5 linked regions of the Oryzias latipes genome follow. The protein of the gene in region 3 purifies or fractionates together with the protein of the main gene of each other region. This does not show direct contact. Links are inferred from orthologs where the notes say so. Each region holds a gene or a part of one and is shown on either strand. Other genes may lie near its edges.

Region 1 (4,509 bases), on a different chromosome or scaffold from region 3:
GTTACCCTCACGCACTGGCAGATCGGTGTAGGTACCGTAACCATTCAGCCTGCAATAACCGTTCGGGGTCCTTTCGACTGAGGATAACGTCACACTATGGTAACCCCACTTGGACAAACTGCGTAGCGTGGAGATCTGCTCGGGCTCTACATATTTTCATTGCACGTTTCCTTTTGTAACCCAAAGTTCTTTTCCCTAATAAGTTGTGTCTGACATTATTCTTTGTAATATTTATAGAGAGATTTTGCCACAACCCACTTTGTAAAAAGATATGTGGCTGTTAGAATGATGAACCTGCTGCTCCACACAAGCGATCCATGAGCAGCTGGAGTCTCGTAGCTTCCTGTTCACAGGCAGGGAAGGTGCTTTGTTACGGTGAGCGGTCCGGAGAAGGGTTCGGACCGCATAATATCTTCTTCTATGGTAGTATCGTAATTTGTCCAGACCAATCACTATCTGACACGTCATCGGACCAACGGACAGCCAATCACATAAGGTGACGTCAGCACTAGTCGAAGGACCCCGAACGGTTATTGCAGACCGAATGGTTACGGTACCTACACCATCTTCTTCTCCAACACAAACAGATTTTTTGCCAACGACCGTGCCAACAATTTTCAATTAGAGCAGGAGGACTAACTGGCAATTTTGGGTTAAATCTGTCCAAAAAAAACTTTCGGTATGTCTTTTTTTGAGACTGCGGTTATAGTTTTCCCTCATTACTGCAGGGGTTAGGTTCCATAAATAACCTGCAATAGGTGAAATCCGCAAAGAAGGATAACAGATATTTTTAAGGCTGTAAAATTCGTCACTACATACTTTATATACTTTTCTCAGACAGACATTAAACAACAGAGAAAAGTGTGAAAAATCTTAATCTCTCAAAATTCCAACCTTCATAGAAAAATAGGTCTAGTGTTATAGTATAAAAACAAGATCTCCATGCTAATGATGATGATTTATTTACATAAATGGAAAAAAGTGGAAAGCCGAGTGGACCCTGCACAGGAGACACGGCACGAGGAGATTGATTGACAAAGTCAACAGCCAATCAGGATGTAGAACAGTGCGCTGTTAAAGAAAAAAAAAAAGTGCAAAATTGCACTGAAAAAGGTCTGCAAAACAGAGAGATAGCGAAAAGTGAAGTGCGATGTAGCGAGGGAACACTGTATTTTACATTTGAGCTTCAGTCTCAGTGAATGTTGAATCCAAACCTCAGCTGCAGCCGGCCTCAAAGTGATGGCCACAGACACCAATCCTTGCTTAGAATCACTGGACACGGGGCCAAGCGGAGAACCGAAGAACATGAAAGACGGCTCAGTCTTGATATCCTGGAGTTTGATCTCTGACCCTAAAGAATAAGAAAAGAAATTGAAGTTTAAAAGGATCCCAATCCTGTTAGGCTACAATAAACAATGGGACACCAGAGAATCTTTGACACAGGTTTCTAAAACAAAATTAGGTAAAGAGTGTTCACCTTTCCCATCAGGGGCAGGAAGCAGGGGGAACGCAGGGGACAGGCAGGGGGAAAGAGGCTCTTCCTTCACCAGGCGCAGGTCTGGGTAGCGGCTGATCTCCATGCCAACCACGCTCTCAGGAGATGAGGATGGTACAAAGCTGTCAGGTGTGTCTCTGTCCTTGCAAGCCTCCTGCCCCCTGTTACTGTTTTCAAACATAAGGTCAAATGAAGCAACTTCTAACACGTTAATGTGGTTTCGAAAAGTTTCCACTGGGTTACCTGAGCTCCTCCTGGTTGTTGTGAGGAGGGGTGGGAAGGGAAGCTGGAACATCCACAGTTTTGGGACCCTGAGCAATGGCTCGAGCAAGAAGATCTTCCTCTGGCCTGAAGGGGACATGCAGGGGCTTTGGCACCAGCCCTTTGGAGACTGCGTTTAAAATAACATTTCAATAAATGACACATGAATTCTATTCATTTCTTCATAAGCATTAAAGGCTTCAAAATAAGCGCACCCATCGCAGCAGCTTTGCTGGCCAGCTCCTCAGTTGTAGCAAATCCATTGATCATTTTCTGCCGACTCACAGGTGGTGGAGTGGGAGGAAGAGATGCCGGAGGTGTTGGAGGATTGCTCAAGTTACTTTGCTGTAAATTAGGAACCGAAGCCAGAGTCAGAGACAAGGTGATGCTGTTGTGATTACAGACTTCCCTGTGGTGTAAACACATCTCACCTTGTAGGCGAGCTGGGAGTAATAATCAGAAACTCCGTCGAGCGAGGCACTGCCGAAAGTACCAGTCAGGAGGTTTTCTCCATTGAGCTGCCCGCTTCCATAAGGAGCAAAGTGAGCAAAGTTTACTCCAATCAGAGGCTCCATGAGCGGCAGCAAGGAGAGCTGCTGTGTTTAGAGAAACAGTTGAGACAGAAATAAAAGACTTTAAAAAAACATGACAGACGCACCTACTCGACCAGTCATAGAAAAATTAATTTTCCTTATTATTCATTTGTATACAAGTCAAAGTAAAAATGGGTTAGGGTAACAGTTATATTCCATTTTGACTATTTTTACTAAACTTATTTGGGAAACTTTTACATAAAAACTGAAGTTTTCTTTATGCTCTTGGATTAATATTTAATAATCAGCAACAACTTACATGTAATAAATATAATTTTATAATTGCATTCCTCAAAAAACAAACCTAAATAAAAAAACCTTAATGAGAGATTGTGTGAGAAGCATTCATGAAGTGTCAAAAAGTAGTGAAGTAATTCTAAATCAGATTTTTTTTTAAAGATTTATTAAGAAAAAGAACTTCATTGAACATGTCTTACTTGCTTGATCTGCGTTATGACTGTGTCCGAGCCAGAGTGCATCAGCTGCCTCTCGTCTCTATCTTTCTTCCTTTTCTTGTAGCGCGAGGCGGGTTTTTCTCCTCCTTTCGGAGGTCTCTTGTTCCGCCCCTTCTTCTTCTCTTGTTCAGGCAGCTGAGGCCCAGGAAAGTCAGAAGTGCCATCGGAGTATGCCTGCTGAGGACGAAACAAATACGTTTTACAGATAAACCGTCTTTGAAGATTCTCAGTCATCTAACAGGATTCTGCTCTTCAGGCCAACTGGACTTTAAAGATGATAAACTTAAAATGACTTGTGAAGCGGCTGAGTTTTCCAACAAAAATGCTTATTAAAACAGCTATGAGTTGCATCAATTTAATGAATTTAGCATTTGAGCTACATTTTTTGGGGAACTATGTTCGTTAATTGAAGTTCTCCAAGTCGTCTATGCTGGAACAAAAAAAAAACACTGACCCCACTGCTGTCCATGGAGCTCTGTCTCAGAAAGCTTTTGCAGTCGGGGGTTTCCCCCTCCTCAGAGCGAAGGCTTTCCTCTGACCTCTGGTGAGACAGAGCAGGTGGAGGTGTGCTCTTGTTCTTTAAAAGATGTTTGAGTAGCTCATTGCTGGACTCGCCCTTGTTTGGACTTTGCTCAGCAGGAAATGGGGACACGCCCCCTTTATTCCCCTCTTCCTTTACGGAGCTCATGTCTGAGCAGATGGATCCTTCCCTTTGCCCGTGACACTCAGTTGTTTCCGTCTTCTCAAGTTTGATGTTACTCAGTATTCTGTCATGGTCCTGGACCTGGGTCCTGGACGTCTCAGAGGGCAAACCATGAGGTCCAGACTGGGCTGCAGAAAGCTGCTTCTCAAGCTCTGTGTGACTGGGAGTGGACGACCCCAGTAAGGGGGACCTCGACAAGTCCTGCTCTCCAAAAAGATGAGTGTTTCTTGTTGGAGTTGAGGAAGTGTCAGAGACACAGGGTGTGAGGGGGGCTGTGAGGTCCGAGTGTGGCGTTGATGGCGTCTTGACTGAATCTGCGTCATCCTCCTTCTTTTTCTTGCGATTCCGTTTCTTTTTGCCTTTCTCGTCTGGGATAATGTTGGAGTACAGCTGAATGAGCGACTGACCCGAACCTGGAAAGTTGGATGGAAGGGGTGTGGCTGTGTCACCATCAAAAGGCGGACCCTCTGCTGGCATCAGTCCTGGTCCGCTGAACTGACGAGGCCGCGGATGACCATGAGGAAAACCAAGTCCCTGAAGGGGAACATTATCAGGCCCCACATCAGCTGCCATCATCCCATTCCCCATCATGCCTCTCCTATCACCCTGAATGAATGTTCCAGGGGGCGAGCTGATGCCATGCTGCATGCCCTGCTGTTGAGGAAACATTGGACCTAATTGATGCGATTGCGGCATAGAGGGTCTTTGAGGCTGCATGAAGTCTTGTGGCAACTCAGAATTAAAAAAAGGCATCTGGGCGAGTGGTGCCATGTTTCCATCTGGTCCCATCATCCCTTGCTGCTCCATTTCCATGCGATGTTTCAGGGCTCTCTGGCGCTCGACCTCCTGCATGAGCTGCACCCGTTGTCTCTCCTGTTGCTCCCTAAGTCTCTCCCTCCTTTCTCGCTCCTGGAAACCTTCACTAAAAGGGTTGTTGTCGTCAAATTTTACGCCGCCTGCCTGCAGGGGCTTTGCACCCCCAGGTGGAGCATGTGGTGCCTG
Region 2 (5,075 bases), on a different chromosome or scaffold from region 3:
CGTCTCTGCCAACCTCCTGGGGTTGGCGTAGCTGATCGACTCAGTGAGCATGTCCATGTTTTTATATATATTATGTATGTAGTGGAGCCTTTTTTCTGTAAGAGACATACGACTGCTACTGTTGTGATTGCTGTGTTGTCAGAACAAAATCCTTAATAAAAAGTTGTGTGGGGGGAAAAAAGCTCACATTGCTTAAAAATACAGACTGGAGAGGAAATGGCCGCTTCTTTGTTCAGCAAACTGTCAACAGCCGCAAAGCATCATATAAACAATGTCATCTAACACTCAAGACATTCATAGGCTAAAGCAGCCGTCTCCAACTGTGTTTACTTTATACGAGTGGATGAATCTGATTAAGAAAAGGGTGACTCCAAAAAAATGGCAGCAATAAAGTGGCATGAAAGCAGCAAAAATAGCTGTTAACAAAAATGAACAGTCCAAGATGCCTCTTCTCTGCCATCCTGAGTGAAGGTGAGTGAATGCTTGTACAACCTTTTACCCAGATGTCATTACTTAGGAAATTAAAAAGGGGAAATATACTAAATTAAAGGGTAAACAAGAATAAGTGCCAAAAAAATACGTTTTGGCTCCTAGAACAAGTGCAGAACCTTCTTACCGAGTTGACATCCCAGATTTTCAGGGTTTTGTCGTCTGATGCAGACACCAGCAGGTTGGAATCAGAGGACCAGGCCACATCAGAGATGCCCTGCAGGATCATGGGAAATAGTTCAGACACATAAGAAGGAGAAGGGCGCTTCTAAAATCTATTCCTCCCACAGGAAATCCAGAGAACATATCAGAGCAATATCAGAGTACAGTTTTACTCACAAGTTTGTGTCCAGATATGGTTTTCTCAAACTTGCCATCATACGCTCCCCAGATCTTGATGAGTTTATCAGCAGCTGGAACAAGAGAACATCAGTCAAATCTATGAATTACTGTCATCACATCAATTATGAAGCCAACACTACACACAAATGTAACACAGCATACAAATTGATCCAAATGACAAGTTTAATACATCTGATAAACAGAAAACTATATTTACTAGATTAGAACATTCTACGTTTAATTCTAATTTGGTTCTAGTTTTCTCTGATTATTTCTCCTTGACAAGTTCATTTTGGGGCTGGGGGCCTCAGTGAATGTTAACTTCTTAGTTCAACGTGTTCCCCACCTCCACAGCACAGAGGCACAGTGACGTATGTTAGTTGGATGGATTATGGGATATTGGAGCATCAGTGAACAGCACTTTATAAGTTTCTATTTTTTGGTTTTCCCAACAAAACTAAACACTGTTGGTTCAGAAAATAAATCATCATCAGTTTCAGCATGAAACTGTCACACTTTACCATCTTTAGCTGATATCTGTCAGTTTATATCCTCGAATTCCAACATTATTCTGCTGATTTAGAGTGATAATTACAATGCGTGAAGTTTATTTGTACTATATTCTACTATATTTATAAAGACAACAAATATGCCCAAACATTGTTCTTGAAAAGATAGAAAGATTTCCAAGTATTTGGATGCTGGTTACAGCCCTGGCATTGTCTTACCCTTTCACCCACCTATTTCATCTCTGAGACTAACTCTGGAGGCGGATCGGAGAATGGAACAAAATATGACACCATGGTGAAATGGGCCTTTTAAAGTCCAACGTCAGGGCAAAAAGCCAAAGGGGCAGAAAGGAATAACACTACTAAAGTGGCTTTAGTAAAAAAATATATATGTACATAACTACTTCACATGTTTTGTTCTAACAATTAATCCGAAAAATCATTTGAAATAAACTCAAGATTCCTAAATGTTTGTTTTTTTTCTCTCTCTTTTTTTTTTTACTTGTCCTGTCCAACAGCTGGGCAGGTAGATGAGAGCTGACGGCCTCTTGTTTAGATTCCTAAATGTTAACATTTTGTAAACTCTACATAGTTTTTTTTTTTCATTGAGTAAACTCCCTTTGAACAGGGTCAACATCAACCAATATAATGGTTTCATGTTGAGTACATTTTGAGACATTCATTGCTTAAAAGCCACACAGAGGAGGATGAACTCACATGAGCTGGCGAGCCATTCTCCACTTGGACTGAATTTGACAGAAGACACGGCTTTGGTGTGTCCTGCTAACGTGAACTTCAGGCTGTAGTTTGGCTTTGCAGGCGCAGACTGTGGGGGGGCACATTTAATGCCATTGGTAAGATAGAAAAGAAGTACATATCAACTCTGCTAAAACAAAAACCAAAATGCATTGTTCACCATTTAATCTTGTATTAATTGGAAAACAAAAGAAACAATTGATGCAAAGCTGCAGTTGCACAAGAACACGGCCCAGAGTACTCAGTCATTTTCTTATATCCAGACCTTGCTTTGGCTTGCAGATGCTGACTGCACAACTGGAGGTTTTGTGTCAGTCTCTGGTTTCTTGTCTTCGGTTGCCATCATGAAAAAAATAGCATCTACTGAGCACTGCAAGGAGACAGAAGAGCACACAAGTATTTCAAATTACATGCTTGCACAGCCCCTTCGTCAAATTTATTATACTCTCGTTTATAGTTTAACGTGTTGTAGAAATATTTTGTTTATTAAAAGGTAAAGTTGATGCATACAATTGCAATGTAGATTGTATAGCCGTATTGGCTAAATTAAGCGTTTACAAATTAGCTCGATGGCTAAAAATTTTAGCTAGCTCAGTTAGCTTCGGTACGCTGACGTATAAAAACTCTTTTTTCTTAACTGGCAAAACAAAAACATCGCGAAGTGGCATTTGATGTACATTAAAGTCAGCTTCCACATTTTTAACGTCAAAATGTTTACCATAAAGAAATAATAGGTGAAAACAGCATCATATAACAAAAGCGACGCGGAATACCTTCCTTTGGCGCAACTTCAGACAGACTTTATATATTTGTACTTGAAAAAAAGACGCGTTGCATGTTCAAATGGATATGAAATAGACGTTAAAAAATATAAAGTGCTAGATGTTCAGGAAAACTATCAGCACTATGTACATGCGGTCACTTGTTTTTAGCTATTGACAACCTGCCACAAAAGCGGCCCTCTACTCCTCAGACAATGAAGATTTACGCAAACGCTCATACTTACAGAAACGTTTTACAGATTCACCTCCAGATTTTTTTCCTCCACCGAAGAAAACACGATTAAAACCAGTCTGTTTTTTCGTAATATGATCCTAAACTTACAAAAAACTAATCTACCTGCCTCCTTGTATACGTTTGGCTGCGAGAAAACCAACGAAGAAACGAGGGAATGTAGTGTGCCAGTGCAATGCGCAGGCGCGTCACACACAGAAGTAACGGAAACCTGTGAGGATCAAGTATCGATGGCACGAGTTAGAATAAACGTCACAAAATGCAGTTTTCCCTTAAGACGTAAACATTTTGCAATTAATATTTCAATTTACCAGAAAAAAAGTTAAGTGAAGCAAAATATATAATTCTCTTTTGATAATAGTATTATCAAAAGAAAAATATGTCAGTGCAAAATATTTGCGTTTTTTGCCAAATGAAAACAGTGGACACTCCAGAACACTAGATGGCAGTATTCCCCTTTGACTTCTGGGCTGACGTGCCCAGACAAATAGACACGAATTGAATTGCCAGCCATGTAGGTGCAGCAGGTCGGGAGAGGAAGTTAGCAGATGGTGACTGACTTCGCCGTGGAGGTACTTGAAGCGCATACTTTTCTGTTCAAGCTTCGGTGTAAAGTTTTACTGTTTTTGAAGAGGAGCATTGCTTGAACTTTTATTCCAATTTAACAATACGAGTTGGTAAACAACTTGCCGCTACCCTCCCTTCCCGTTAGATGATGATCGGAGTTTTTTCTCGAAACGGATTAAAAAGAAAACTTAGGTGATTTTTTTAAATTGCTTAAATACCTGATATATATTATGACTAGTTAAAATAAAAAAGTCAGACTTTTTTTTCAATAACATTTTATAGCAGCATTTTTAGGTGTTGCAGAGTTAAAGAAATAAAGGATTTTCGTTCACCACCAGGCAAGAAAAACATTTCATTTGTGCACAGACTAGCTAATTATGATAGCTAACACGTTGGACGTTTCTTGACCTCGAAGAAAATATTGGTATTCATTTGCATTGTCTCTTCAGGAAGTCTGTGTGGTTTGACAAATAATTTTTTACAATAGTTGTTGGAAGTAACGTTTTGGGGACTACGCCTCCATCTGCTAGGATACAAAGCCCTTATTTAACTGAGTAAAACTTTGAGAGTTCGTGCACACGTGAAGCATTTCAGTATCCAGTAGAAGGCATTCCTCGCGCGTGTCCAACAACAACAGGGGTTCTTGTGGGTTAAAGTGATAAAACACGCGGTTTTTGTCACGTCCGCCCACTTCCGCCTGGCACGTTCTGCAGTTCTTAAAGACCCTTTCTGAGGAATGTGAAGGAGGGAATCTGCTGCAGTGGTTTTGGTTTGCTTTCATGGAGCTGTAGCTTCCCATGTTTACATTTTTAAGTTGGTTAATTACTCCAAAATTCACTTTTTATTTGTGGTTGTTTTAATTTTTATTACATTTTGCGTTTTTTGATCTTCTGCATAGTGGAAACATTAAAAAACAAACAAAACAGTAATAGATTACAACATTCATTATTATATTAAGGATGAATTAAAAAAGCATAAAATATCAAGGGCTGAGATAACTAAACAATTATGTACTTATAAGTTTACTACATAAATGAATATATTAAGCTGTAAGTTTACAATTCTGGAGGAATATCTGTGAATTGTCACAGAGGTAAAGTTAGCTATATATTCATACGATATAAAAATTCTTCTAAAGCTTTTAAGTCATTGGACCCAAATCCCTCTAGAGAATAAAACAGATTAACCACTATCAGTGACAGCTATTTAGATAAGCTTTCGAGTTTTTTTAGTGTCAAATTTTGTGTTTTTCTGCAATAGCTTTTAATTTATTGAACCCAATCACGCCAGATCTCTCTAGAATAGTAAAACGGATTGACCAATATTGGAGACAGCAGCTCACATTAGCTTTTGATGCTTTTTCTAATTTTAGTAAATTTCTTAGTCTAACGTTTTGCA
Region 3 (4,655 bases):
CGTATGCAAACGACTCCCAAAGGTTGTAGCAGTGGTTCATCAGTGTAGATATCACTCCATTCCGTTCACTTTTACCCCTTAAAAAAAATAAAAAAATATTTCATGCTGGGAAGTACGGCACAAAGTATTGATTCTAATATTTCACACAGCTGGAGGAAAGTTAATTGTGGAAATAATCATGCAGGGATGAGTTCCCTTGCTGCTAAAACATTTTATTTGAGTGTTTTTACCCATAAAACCTTCGTATTAGGAACTTCAGAAGTGGATGAAGCGCCGCCTTGGTTCTTGTGCCGTTAAGGTCACTGGCTCTGTGAACAGAATAGCCCATTTCTGTCATTTCATGTGCATTTGCCACAGCCTAATTGTCCTGAAAATTGATCCTGAAAGATATAAAAGAGCCGTCTAATCCGCTGCTGAAAACTTGACAGGGTACTGTTCACCAACGCATCTGAGCATTTCAGAGAAAACACTCCTTCCCCGATTCCATAACCTCATGAAATACTGCTTCTTGACAATATTGAAACATTGGAACTGATGTACTGTATATTCCACAAAAAATGCTTGTTATTTATTTGTAAGTATTTATTTATTTATTTGGTTTGTGGTTTTGAATGCATATTTATGCATACATATTATACTCTTTGCTTCTGAGCCTTATGTGGAGGCTGTATCGTTACTCAAACTTAGCTAAAATATACTTCTCTGTCCTGAACCTGTCTTGAGTCCTTGATTTTTTTTTTAGATTACAATTGCAAATATTTGATGCTTAAAAGTTTTAATATAAAAGGATTTGGGTTAAGCTCCAACGCAGGTCGGCCACCGGAGGGCGCCAGAGTTTTGCCATGGAGAGAATTGATGACCTGTGCTTTTTCACCTATTAAAGCAATAAAAATATATAAATATTGAGGAAAATATTGACATTATTGGAGTTCCGCTGAGGATAAATTGAAAAAAAGTTTTAAAGCAAATTATTAAAAGATCAAAATTTCTGTTTAATCTCCAAAAAAATTAAACAATGTGTAAGACAGCATCAAAAAGTAAGAATTTCCAAATTTTCGTATTTTTATGGCCTAAACAGGCTAATAAAATGTTTTATATTTATGTAAATTTGTCAGCTCATTTTGTCAAATGAATGTTTCTTTAGGTAAAAACAACTATACATTTTTATTCATTCAAATCTTTATTTAACAAGAACATTCTAAAGAAAATAAATCTTTAGATTAAAAAAAACATTGTTTTTAACAATCCCCCACCCCTCTAAAAAGAAACACCAAAAAGGGCTTGCTGAAATTGCACTTGAACACCCTTTCTTCTGTATTACAACTTTATGGGGTCTCATAGACTTTAATAGTCAATAAAAAACATTTATTTGAACGATTCTGCATCCAGAATTAACAAGATTTGACAGGAAGTACTTTTACAAATGGAGACTCAGGGCAAACCTGCATGAAAAGAGCGTATTTTATAACAAAGCTAAACATCACCAAAGCCCAGAAATGAGTCCATTTTGACATTTCCTAGGATTAAAAAATTATTGCAAAAATACAAAAACACAATTCATTACATTAAAAAGAGTTCTGCAAAGCCTTTTTAAAGCTCTCCTTTTGTGTCTTCAGTATCTCCTCTGTCGTGGTGAGAAGATGGTGTTGGGGTTGCTGTCTCGCTCCCTCTCCTTATCCCGCTCTTTCTGACTGTTTGGGGAGAGGGCCTCCTCCAGCTTTTTCTCGTTCTTAAAGAAATCCCTCCCCGTTCGTCTAATGTGCTCCTCGATTTTGCGATGGCGCTTCATGTCGGACAGCACTTTGTCCAGACGAGCTTCTCTTTTCACCGTCGAGCGGCCGGAGGATCCTGGAAAGCGACATCAAACTATTAAGAAATCTGCAATCTTGAAACATTAACATCAGTCTGATGAGCATTTCCCACCTGGTGTTCGCCGTCGATTGATGAAGGCATTTTTCGGCGTTGTCTGCATATTCTCTTCATCGAAGTCGAACTCGGTTGGAGATGGAGGCCTGAAAAAAAATCAAAACAGTATTTTCTACTCAAAGCAAAGTAATACAGACAGTTTGAGTTGAAGAAAAAGGGCTACTGACTTCCGCTCTCTGTCTTGCCTCTCCCTTTCCTTCACCGCCTCGTCCTCTTCGTCTCTCTCAGGTGAAAGGGAACGTTCAGGTGTGGGTGGTCTTCTGGGGAGGGGCTCAAAGTTCAGTTCCAGCATCTGCCCTTTAGCCAGCAGCTCGTAGAGTCTTTTAATTTCCAAAGGAGGCGGCATCCAGTTTTTGGCGTCCTCCATCTCCTCGTCGCTGTACGGAATCTCCCACTCCTCTTCTGCAGCCTGCTTCCCCTCCTCAGCATCCACCCCTGTGTCTGCTTTAGCTGGATCGGTCTGAGCTGCATCTTCGGCCGCATCTGCGTTCTCCTCTGACAAAGCAGAACAAACGTTCACTTTCAGATCAAAACATGCCGAAACATCTGCTGCATCGTGTCCCAAAACGCAGGTACCAGCTTCCTCCTGGGCTGCTGCGTCCTCTTCTTCTGCGACGGCTGTTCTGTCAGTGTCCTGTTGGTCCGTGATGATGTCCTCTGTTGTGTCTGCAGCGGGTTTCTCTGAATCCTCCACGTCCAAAGCCTGGATGCCCTCTCTGAGGGAGGTGTCTGAAGCTTCCGCCTGCATCCTTCCCTCAACTGCTCAACTTCCACAAATCTGAGCAGCACAAAAACTAGTCACCTTTTAGTTCTCGTTGAATTCAAAAATAAATAAATAAAAACAAATCACAAAAAAGATTTATCCTTAGGGATCCGTTAACACACGTGCTCTAATAATCACTTGCTCAATTTAAGGAAAGTGGCATAATTCTTGCTGGGTCTTAAGTTCTTGCTAACAAGCTAACGTCAAATGTAGCACACAAATCTTTAGAAACAACATTTTTTCAATGAAAGTCAGATCATCGTTACCAATATTTTGTGGATCCGTGTTGCTGGGGGTTATAGGCTTATTACGAAAATCCCACGAATAATGCAGTCACGAAGGTATAACAATCGACTCTGCAGAAACGTAAACATAGCGCCATTTTGGCTGAAGGAACCGCTTGACGGTCTGCTTGCTTTAGCCTTACAGCAAAGACTGTACAATCCAACTGATTAAAATGTATGTGGATGATCCACTCACGGCGCGCTAAACCGGGAACTGTGAAGGTCGACAGTATAGAGATCTAGCTATGACGCTACTTCCTATCATGCGCAGTCACATCAGGGAAATTATGACTTTGTAATATTTTTTTTTATTTTTGCTTTGAACGTTAAAATTCGTAACGTATTATATATTATTCTAATTTTACGTTTACAATTATATATTTAATGTGTTAATAAGACACTGTCTAATAAAGCAATATGTCGCGAGCTCTGATTGGTTAATGTCGTTTCCGGTCGAAGCTGTCTTGGATTTAAAAGTTTTCGGTTAGAAAGTTTTCGGGGCTGCCAGCGCCATTATTAAATGGAGGTACTTGCGCCATGGTAAAAGTGTGTTTTTAACGACACAAAAGGATTCTTGAAAACGTAAGTATCGTTTTGTAAGTTTTTATTTATAAAAAGAAAAGTTCTAATCGTGTTAACCTTAGCTGTGTGCGAAAATAACAACATAATGCTACCGTGCCCTAGTTGGCTAGTCATGATGGGCGTTGGTAACAATAACAATGTGGTGTTTTAACCTGGATAGGCAATAAAATACAACTTAATCTTGGCGGGTTTGTTTCTATTTATGGTCAAAGTGCCTTTAAGTTGACTCTTGGGTAACTTTTAAAGCAGTGATTCTCGTTTGATTTCGGGCCTTTGTTTTTCGAAGAACACAACATGGCGGCGCAGCGCGTGACCGTTTCATCAGATGGAAACAAGAAGATTTCAAGAGTTCGAGTCGCGGTTCGTCTTCGGCCCTACTTAGACAAAGAGGACGAGAAGGGCGAAGGGCCGTGCGTGCGGGGCCTGGATAAGCAAAACCTGGAAATAGTCAACTGGAGGAATGCAACAGAAACCGTCAAATACCAGTGAGTCAGTCTCTACATGTATTCTTTTTTTTGTGAATGTGCGTTTTCCATTAAAAGTTCGTGCTTTTCTTCCCAGTTTCGACGCTTTTCATGGTGAAAAGACGACACAGCAGGAGGTTTTCCTCTCATCTGTAAAGCCCGTCTTGTCCCACGTATTGAACGGACAGAATGCCAGCGTGTTTGCTTATGGGCCCACTGGAGCTGGTAAGGTTACGCCTCACATTCATTCATTCTTAAAATGGATAAGAAAGTTCTCTTTATTTATGCAGCACCTTTCGCAAACGGAAGTCACAGGGTGCCTCAAAGGTAAAAAAAGAAAAAGTTTTTTGTTGACTTTTTAAAATAAATCAGAGTCCAGGGACACAATGGGAACTCATTCCAGAGTTTAGGAGCAACAGCCTGGAAGGATTTGTCTCCTGTGGTCCAGAACCGTGCGCGAGAGACCACCACCAAGTCCTGATCCACAGACCTCAGTACACGCAGATGGTCTATAGGGGGCGATCAAATAAAAAACATATGAGAGAGCTTGACAATGGAGGTCCCTAAAAGTCAAAACTAAGATTTTCTATTGAAAGCCGTAAGCAATCGGGAGCCAATGAAGAGTTTTGAGGATAG
Region 4 (4,509 bases), on a different chromosome or scaffold from region 3:
GCTGCGGTAACTGGTGGTGTTGCTGGGCAGTCTGGTGTGACTGCTGAAGCAACTGCTGCTGTTGCTCTGCTGTGACGGACTGGCCTGTCAGCTTGGAGTGGTTAAAAGCGGCGGGGTTGCAATTGCTCGGGGTCTGAAGGCGGTTCTGATTGGTCTGAGGCTCCATAGCTTTCGTTTGATTCCCTGCGAGATTTTGGATGATCTGCAGGGAGACAAAGAAATACTTTGAGAAAAACAGAACTTAAGCATCTTTAGACTAACCACCACTCATGGAAAATCAGCTGTCAGGAACGCATGACAACAAATAGCTTTTGAACAAAGTGGAGCAGGAGCTACTGAGGAGGATGATACTTGCTTTCTGATGCTTTTTTGTGTGACTTTTGTCAGAAGTTAATGCCATTTATAAAGTTAGTAATACTCAAGTTTAGTGTTAAATAAAAGTACTTCAGGTTCAGATTCAGCCAAGTTTACAAACAACGACAGCATTTACTGTCAATTTTGATGCAGACGCAGACCATAATAATAATACCTTATAATATGATCTATAAGGTGTAAAATTATAACAGTATAATCTGTAACAATAAAGTATCCGACATGCAATGTTAAATGGTTTTCATGTACATGGTTTGTTATTTGTCTTCTCCCTCCTGTTTTTCACGTAGAAAAGTATCAATAAGAATACCGGATTGATGCCACATTGATAAGAGGAGTAGTATTGATCGAATCTTAACAATACCCATCCCTAGTTTTAAAAGCCCATCCATCCATTCATTCATTTTCAGATCCCAATGCATTCCTTTCAGGGTCAGTGGGTTGCTGGAGCCTATCCCAGCTGCTGTTGAGTGAAGGGGGGTTTATGCTGAGCAGGTCGTCAGTCTATTTCAGGTCCACACATTCACACTTGGGGACAATTTTGAATCACCAATTTATCTATGGATCATGTGTTTGGACAGAGGGACGGAGCTGGAGTCCCCGCAGAAATCCCACACGTGGACGAGGAGAGTATGCCAAGTCCAGCTGGAATTTCAAGCAGGGCGTTCTGCTGTGAGGCAAGAGAGCTAACCACGACACCCCCATGTAGCCTTAGCTTTAAAGGCCTTTTTACTGACAACCATGAACTTAAGGCCTGATCAAACCCTGTGGAGCAAACGTTTTGCCAGGCTGGGATTCAAAAACTGTTTTTTTCAGCTGCAGTCATTGAATGATGGTTATGAAGTGCAGGTCACTGAAACCCATCACCATAGAACACCAAATCTAAATCCTGATCGTGAATTACTCATTTGTTTACTAAACCAAAGTGGTCAGAATGATTCTTCTTGACTTTCCTGCTGCTCCCTTTAGTGGTCGCCACAGTGAATCAACAGCCTCCATCCATTTCTATCCACCCTCCCCCGACATCAACCCCCGTCATGTCCTCCATTACATCCATGAACCTTCTTTCTTTTCCCACATATCACTCCAGTCTTATCACCTTTTACCAACAGAACTACTGATCCTCCTCTCAACATGCCCACAGATCTCAATCTGTTTGCTGGCATCCACCTCCATAGCATCCATCATGAGCTGTTCCTCTGATAGATACTTTCCTGCCACTCCAGACTTCCATCGCATCTGTTGTCTTCTTTTGCCTGAAGCCATATTGTTGATCATAAATGTTCATGTCTGACTTCAGTCTAGTTTCCACTACTCCTAATAACTTCTTTATGCGACTCATCAGCTTATTCCTCTGTTTCCACAACTCAGAACGTCCCTCTTGTTTTTCAAAATACACTTTTACTCCATTCTTCAGGCATCATGTCACTCTTCAAGGTGGATAATCTCATCCATCGTCACGACAACGTTCATTGACAAACACACCCTTGGCAAATACCAAAAACTGAACTCAGAGTCCTCCCAACTGCATTAGAAGGATTAACCACAGAGGAGATAGATGGAGATGGGCAGCAGTAAGTGTGTGTGAAGAAGCTTTTTACATGAGCGACGTTGGGTGGTCGGTTGGCAGTCTGCACATCAGAGGCATTGGTGATGTTGCAGAGGGTTATCATGGCCGTACTCCATCCAGGAATGCCTTCAGGAACCGGTACACCTACAGAAAACAAATGAAAGGTGGAAAAGAAATTCAATCCTATGCAAGCGTTCTCAGAATAGAGCCACGCCATCACCAAAGGATTACATTTTCATCTATCCCTATAGAAGAGGGGCGTCACAATCACAACTATTAAAACAAATTCAATATGGCTTAAAATAAAGGGTTGTAGCTGTGACAAATCCTTAAAATCTTTTAGCAAATTTAGCAACAATTATGAACTTTCAGATTAAAAGGCCACTTTTGTGGTGTAATTCTGGCTTCTCCATTATAAATGCAAAAGTATTGTGTTGCTGTCGGTCACATGACTCACAAAACCTTATTTAAGTACTTAAACTCTATTGGGGGATCATATTTAATGGATTCAATGCATCATGTGCAGGGAAGGGAATCTCAGGGTGACTCTCGATACGACGTGATTCACCATACATGGATCACAATTTCATATTGCAATTATCAATGTTACCTTGATCATCTAATATACCACTATTATATAAACAAATATATCTTTATTTTCGATGAAACCTTTTTTTTAAACAATTTAAAACACAATATATGAATTTAACCATCCTTTGCAACAGTAAAATAAAATGATCAATAAATACTGCTGTGTCTTTGTAATAAAAACATACACTTAATGATAACTAATGAACAAAGCTCCAATTATGAACTAAAATGTATATCAAATAGCCTCAGTGGAATTAAAAATTCACAATGATGTACTTTAATTATTAATATGAACATTCAGACCCATATTTCGTCACACCCTAGTCTTGTGTGCTATTGTGTTTATAGATGACTTTATTAATCCCACGATGGGGAAATTTCATTTATCTGCAGCAGCAACAACGACATTCAGAAATAATATATATAATATAACATCAAAAAGGACATTCATATCAAATTATTAACAATTTTTATTAAAACTAATTAATAAAAATATTATTAGAACTATTATCAAAATGATTAAAATAATTATTAAAAAAAGAGAGCAATTATAATGTCAAGAAGATAGCATCCTTTGCTATTCATTTTCATTAAGTTATGAATGAATATCTGAAATAGATTTTACAAACATATGTATTTTTATCATCTCATCTTTGAAATCAATCATTCATGGAGGATCACAATACATCAAATATTTATCAATTGTACGATTTCCTGGTCATTGCAGGTTTGCGCTGCTTATTGGCTGTTGTACAACAGGTTTTACGGTTGCCATGGTGAATGAAGGATGTGGACTCAAAGAGCATGCCGTAAAAATCTAGATATTTTTCTTCCTGGAACTATTTATTCAGTAAAGCTTGCATTTTTGATGCATTGATTGCTTGCTCTCCATATGACTGACATGAACCCTTTTACACTGGAGCTCTGGTTCACATTCTTTCTACGTCTGTAACTCTACATCCGTTGACGCCATTAATACAATACCAACGGATTCCAAAGAGGAGAAAAATGCCACACCCTATGGTAATGAAGTGCTTCCGAGATCAACATAAATCAAGTAATTCTGTCATGGAGGAAAGCAGCCTTGCGTCATTTATTTGTGCAAAGCCGATATGAAAAGCCGCTTTTCTGGGCGTCAGAATCGGCTGATTCGCCTTCATCCCATAAACCAGGGGTCGGCAACCGGCGGCACCGGAGATGCATGCGGCTCTATCATCCCTGTGTAGCGGCTCTCCGTGGTTTGGTAAAATAACCACCATGTTCCAAGATTGCTGTGGTGCCTTCAACACCATCAGGTAGTGCGAGCGGGCAGGAGGAAGAGGGCAGCGTGAACGCGCGGAGGGGGCGTGTCTGAAGCTGTGAACGCCGACCAGAGTCTGTTATGGGATGGAAAGTTTTTCTGGAAAGACAGTCAGTGGGGATCTCGTAGGGGACAGATGTACATCAAAGAGCGTGTATTATTCGAGTGTCGCCTATGACATCTTTGAACATACAGACTGCAAGAGATCAAAGGTCAATTGGGCTTCCAACACCAATATACCCCAAAAAGCATTACTGTCAATCAAAATATTTATCTGAAACAAAAACATGTCATCTTCTAAATAGGTAAACTTGGGAAAAATTCATATATATGCTGAAAACACAAATACAGGATGGAAACAGTCATCAGAGGCGGGGCTTTACTGACCTTGCTGCGTGGACTGATTGATGGCAGCGGCGGCAGAGCCGGTCTTTGCAGTTGTTGCTCCTTCGCTCCCTGCTACAGAAGGCACAGTGGAACACAGGTTGATGAGGCCACTCCCCGCAGACGAAGCCAGATCCCTGATACCAGGTGGGCCGGTTCGCCGCCTGGCTGTGCCAGTTGAAACTGGAGCTGTGGGAGTGACAACTTCCGCCGGAGTCCAGTTCAAGTTGGTGCCCTCCTTCTCGGTTGGCGAGTCATCGTCAGAATCGTCGAACATCCGCTCGCTGCGACG
Region 5 (3,364 bases), on a different chromosome or scaffold from region 3:
ATGGAAGGTTAAACATTATTATGGTGCTGAATGTATTTTGTTACTTAGATTCTGAAGTAACAGCTACCTTACCTTCTTGTTAGACATCAACATAACACTGAGAGTCAAGTATAAACATAACTCAAAGCGTTTCCCTAACCAGACAACTGACTCCACTAAATTGAAGCCATACAAGGTGCTATCAAACAGTTACATAAATAAAGCACTTGGTTATCTGGTTTCTGTGTTTACACTGTTGAAGTTGTGCTAACATTAATTTGTAACAGTAATAAAAATCAAAAATCATTCACTGCGAGGCTTTAAAATTAATTTAAAAGACCCTTTCAGATGAAAAAACTTGCTTTTTGGTGTTTTTAAAATTCTTGTGGCAATTTTCTGATGAGGACATATATAAAGAATAATAAGATTAAAATTGTACTTCTGTGTGTCTTTATTTCAATCACTGTAAAGCAGTGGCAGACATAAAAATCTGCATTAAAAAAGAGCTAATTTGTGAAACAGAAAATAGTGAGGGGAATGCTCTGCGCCAACGGTCCTGCCAACATCTCAGAAGCAAATTTCTAATGAACTACTGCTGTCCAAGAAAATGACAATTTTATAATTAAAGGATGCTTTTACAATTGATCAAAAGATTATTGGAATGGGTCTTTAGAAATTTAGCTTCTAGTGAACTAAGGTCAACTGAAATGGACTTTTGCCACCAAAATTACCTGATGAGGAAGAAATGAGTTAAAATAAGCCTGTACCACATCAGTTCTAACCACAGGTCCACATCATCCCCCCATTTGAAAGGTACAACCCCCGCAGATCAGAAACAGTTTGATCCTGGGTCACTGGTAAATAAAATAACTTCAGTCTGCCAAAAAGTTTCAGGCTTCAAAACACAAATCACAAAAACAAAACTGCTAACAGAAACGGTTAGAAGAAAACATTATTTCTATCTGCATGATGTCCATCTGCCCTTAGTAATAAATAAAATATGATACTACCTCAAGCATTTGCAGTGCAAAGCTTTTACAAATCATCCTGTCAAAAGTCAAAAATAATTGCCCCTATACACCAAACCAAGTTTAAACATCACTTGTATTATTTTTTTTTTAGAGCACAGTATTGACTCTTCCCTGTTAAATTTCATGGTACTCCTTTGATTTGCTGTTCAGCACAACAAATAAACATAGAAGATAAGTGAACCTGCAGAGCTGACAAGAAGGAAAAATGATTAAAAAGATTCTTTTTTTCTATTATTCATTCTTGCTGATTTTTAAAAGGTGCCCAAAAGTTGTGTTGTGTGGCTACAAGTAATCAAACCCTGTTGAAATTTGTCATCAGGTCAACGCAATACACTTCAAAAGTATAGGATAGGCCATTTTCCCCCCATAAATTAACAGTTATAAGAAGTAATATGACATGACACGATTTGACGTCATGACAAACGTTTGGTGTGTAAGGGATTAAATAGTCACCTATCAAAATCTCAGAGCAAGAAAACAAAACAGAAAAGATTCTGTTAGAGATCTTACGGTTGCTCAGAGCCTGTTGTTGCTTCGTCACCTAAAAATAAAACACAAAGACAAAAACATTTGTATGCCAGATAGGTCAAGGTTTTTTGTTGATCTGTAGATGGTTATTTGGTCAATGTTTTTTATTTCATTAGCAATAAAAGAAAGATAATTACCCATCTTCTCAGAGGAAACAGGTTCTTGTAGAATGTCTTGTTGTAGGGCTGAAGGTGAATGGAAAAGATAATAGCACAGCTAAGAAAATTGCAAAATCTCAAATGTTTGTGAAGCAAAAAAGTATGTATAGAAATGTAATTAATTGGTTTTATGAAGTAATTTAGTTGTACCTTTTTAATATTTAAATAACATTTGCTCTGACTTGGAACATGCTTAAAAGTTCTTACCAGGGCTGATCCGAGTTGCTTCAGCAGATACTGCAGCTTGTGGCGTGGACGGCTCAGCTGTTGAAGGGTCTGACTGCACCGACAGGACTCTGCTGGGATCAGCAACTGGTGATGTATGAGTCGCCTCAGCAGATCCAGGTGCAGCAACAATTGGAACAACAGATGGTACAGTACTTTGCACAAGAGTAACCGTTGATAGCAAGGCAGCAGATGAGACTCCTGGACTAGTACCAACTACAGTTGGCATAGGAGCTTGAGAATTTACAGTTGAGTTTGGGAGCGATGTCGTAGGAAGCAGAGAAGTAGGGCCAAGAGTCTGATTAGGAACAGAAACCTGGGTAGAAACTGGGACCGGTGAAGATTCTACAGGCAAAGGATTGTTTGTGGTACTGGCAGTAGTATTGGGTGATCGTGCTTCAGTCGGGGTAGCTAGACTAGCAGGTGGAAGAAACACCTGTGGTGGCCCAGCCCCCATAAAACCCTGAAGAGACTCACCAGTGCTGGAAACAGGAGCTGGTCCAGATTTACCTTTTGCTTGGGTAGGAGGAGATGGTGATATGGGGCTCTTACGGAAACTGCCAACAGTTCCAGAACTGGAACAGGGAGGTGTGGACAAAGGTGTCTGAAATGGGGATGATGTTGTAGCGCTTGAGTGGGGTGGAGGTTTCCAGAGTGCAGGATTAGATTTCTGAGACAAAGTGGTCTCATTTTGACTTTCTGCTTTTGTTGCTCCTGGGTTGGTTTGGTGAGAAGCTAGGATAGCACCAACTGGAGTTGTGGATACTGCATTAGTAGCTACCTGAACCTGTCCAGCAAGCGTTCTATTGGGCTGAGAGGGAGCTATATTAACCCCTGATGGCTGTGTGGAATTTAGGGCAGGAGAAAGTTGGATGCTTCCAGTAGGCATTTGGATAGACCCTACCATGGTGACTGACTGAGATACTACTGAGTTATTAGGAGCCACAGAGGAGCCAGGAACCTGGAATATTGGATTAATAAATACTGGGGTTGTGGTGATAAACTGAGGTGGTCGAGGGCCAGGACTCTGCTGTCGGATATCCTGAGATCTTGAGTTTTTGTTGGCAGCAGCCATCATGGTGGACACCATCGATGTGGGGGTAGAAGTTATAGGATTGGAGGTGACAAACACTGTAATCTGGTTGGAGGAAATGGTGGTTGAAGACGCAGGGATCTGTATGACAGAATGAACGCTAGACATGGGTTTGGGACTTGGGCTCGGTTTAAGAGCAGAGCTGGGCGGGTTTAGAGCAGTGCTTGAGTTGGAACTAGCATTTATAGCTGAGGCAGAACTGTTATGACTGGAAGTGACTGTACAAGGGCTTGCACCTGTGGTTGCATTAGTGTTTGTACTAACTGAGTTGCAATGGGAAGATGTGGTATTTACATTTGAATCAGGATTAACAAGACTAGAGTTAGCAGTTTGGGTAAAGCTAAGAATAG

Evidence for each region.
Region 1: the proteins of pagr1 (region 3) and histone-lysine N-methyltransferase 2C purify together in Homo sapiens (affinity purification with mass spectrometry; 3 studies listed by BioGRID and IntAct, with this or other methods). This does not show direct contact. The link is inferred for Oryzias latipes from reciprocal best matches to the Homo sapiens genes PAGR1 and KMT2C.
Region 2: the proteins of pagr1 (region 3) and wdr5 purify together in Homo sapiens (affinity purification with mass spectrometry; 5 studies listed by BioGRID and IntAct, with this or other methods). This does not show direct contact. The link is inferred for Oryzias latipes from reciprocal best matches to the Homo sapiens genes PAGR1 and WDR5.
Region 4: the proteins of pagr1 (region 3) and paxip1 purify together in Homo sapiens (affinity purification with mass spectrometry; 6 studies listed by BioGRID and IntAct, with this or other methods). This does not show direct contact. The link is inferred for Oryzias latipes from reciprocal best matches to the Homo sapiens genes PAGR1 and PAXIP1.
Region 5: the proteins of pagr1 (region 3) and ncoa6 purify together in Homo sapiens (affinity purification with mass spectrometry; 3 studies listed by BioGRID and IntAct, with this or other methods). This does not show direct contact. The link is inferred for Oryzias latipes from reciprocal best matches to the Homo sapiens genes PAGR1 and NCOA6.

The regions. Positions count from the first base shown.
Region 1 is NC_019875.2:25,398,083-25,402,591, reverse strand, and holds part of histone-lysine N-methyltransferase 2C, read right to left. Parts: coding exon 3,259-4,509; intron 2,982-3,258; coding exon 2,787-2,981; intron 2,353-2,786; coding exon 2,188-2,352; intron 2,102-2,187; coding exon 1,972-2,101; intron 1,887-1,971; coding exon 1,739-1,886; intron 1,663-1,738; coding exon 1,478-1,662; intron 1,352-1,477; coding exon 1,215-1,351; intron 1-1,214. UniProt on the Homo sapiens protein: Histone methyltransferase that catalyzes methyl group transfer from S-adenosyl-L-methionine to the epsilon-amino group of 'Lys-4' of histone H3 (H3K4).
Region 2 is NC_019870.2:23,024,526-23,029,600, forward strand, and holds the start of wdr5 (WD repeat-containing protein 5), read right to left. Parts: upstream 3,294-5,075; 5' UTR 3,103-3,293; intron 2,467-3,102; 5' UTR 2,443-2,466; coding exon 2,362-2,442; intron 2,167-2,361; coding exon 2,058-2,166; intron 903-2,057; coding exon 829-902; intron 707-828; coding exon 617-706; intron 1-616. Other genes in the region: bromodomain-containing protein 3, read left to right, coding at 3,659-3,682.
Region 3 is NC_019877.2:7,654,284-7,658,938, reverse strand, and holds pagr1 (PAXIP1-associated glutamate-rich protein 1), read right to left. Parts: upstream 3,212-4,655; 5' UTR 2,956-3,211; intron 2,705-2,955; 5' UTR 2,675-2,704; coding exon 2,503-2,674; intron 2,422-2,502; coding exon 2,094-2,421; intron 2,013-2,093; coding exon 1,924-2,012; intron 1,849-1,923; coding exon 1,613-1,848; 3' UTR 1,286-1,612; downstream 1-1,285. Other genes in the region: kinesin-like protein KIF22, read left to right, coding at 3,850-4,040, 4,117-4,244. UniProt on the Homo sapiens protein: Its association with the histone methyltransferase MLL2/MLL3 complex is suggesting a role in epigenetic transcriptional activation. However, in association with PAXIP1/PTIP is proposed to function at least in part independently of the MLL2/MLL3 complex.
Region 4 is NC_019875.2:13,221,729-13,226,237, forward strand, and holds part of paxip1 (PAX-interacting protein 1), read right to left. Parts: coding exon 4,221-4,509; intron 2,087-4,220; coding exon 1,974-2,086; intron 203-1,973; coding exon 1-202.
Region 5 is NC_019865.2:14,784,304-14,787,667, reverse strand, and holds part of ncoa6 (nuclear receptor coactivator 6), read right to left. Parts: coding exon 1,904-3,364; intron 1,724-1,903; coding exon 1,676-1,723; intron 1,552-1,675; coding exon 1,521-1,551; intron 1-1,520. UniProt on the Homo sapiens protein: Nuclear receptor coactivator that directly binds nuclear receptors and stimulates the transcriptional activities in a hormone-dependent fashion. Coactivates expression in an agonist- and AF2-dependent manner.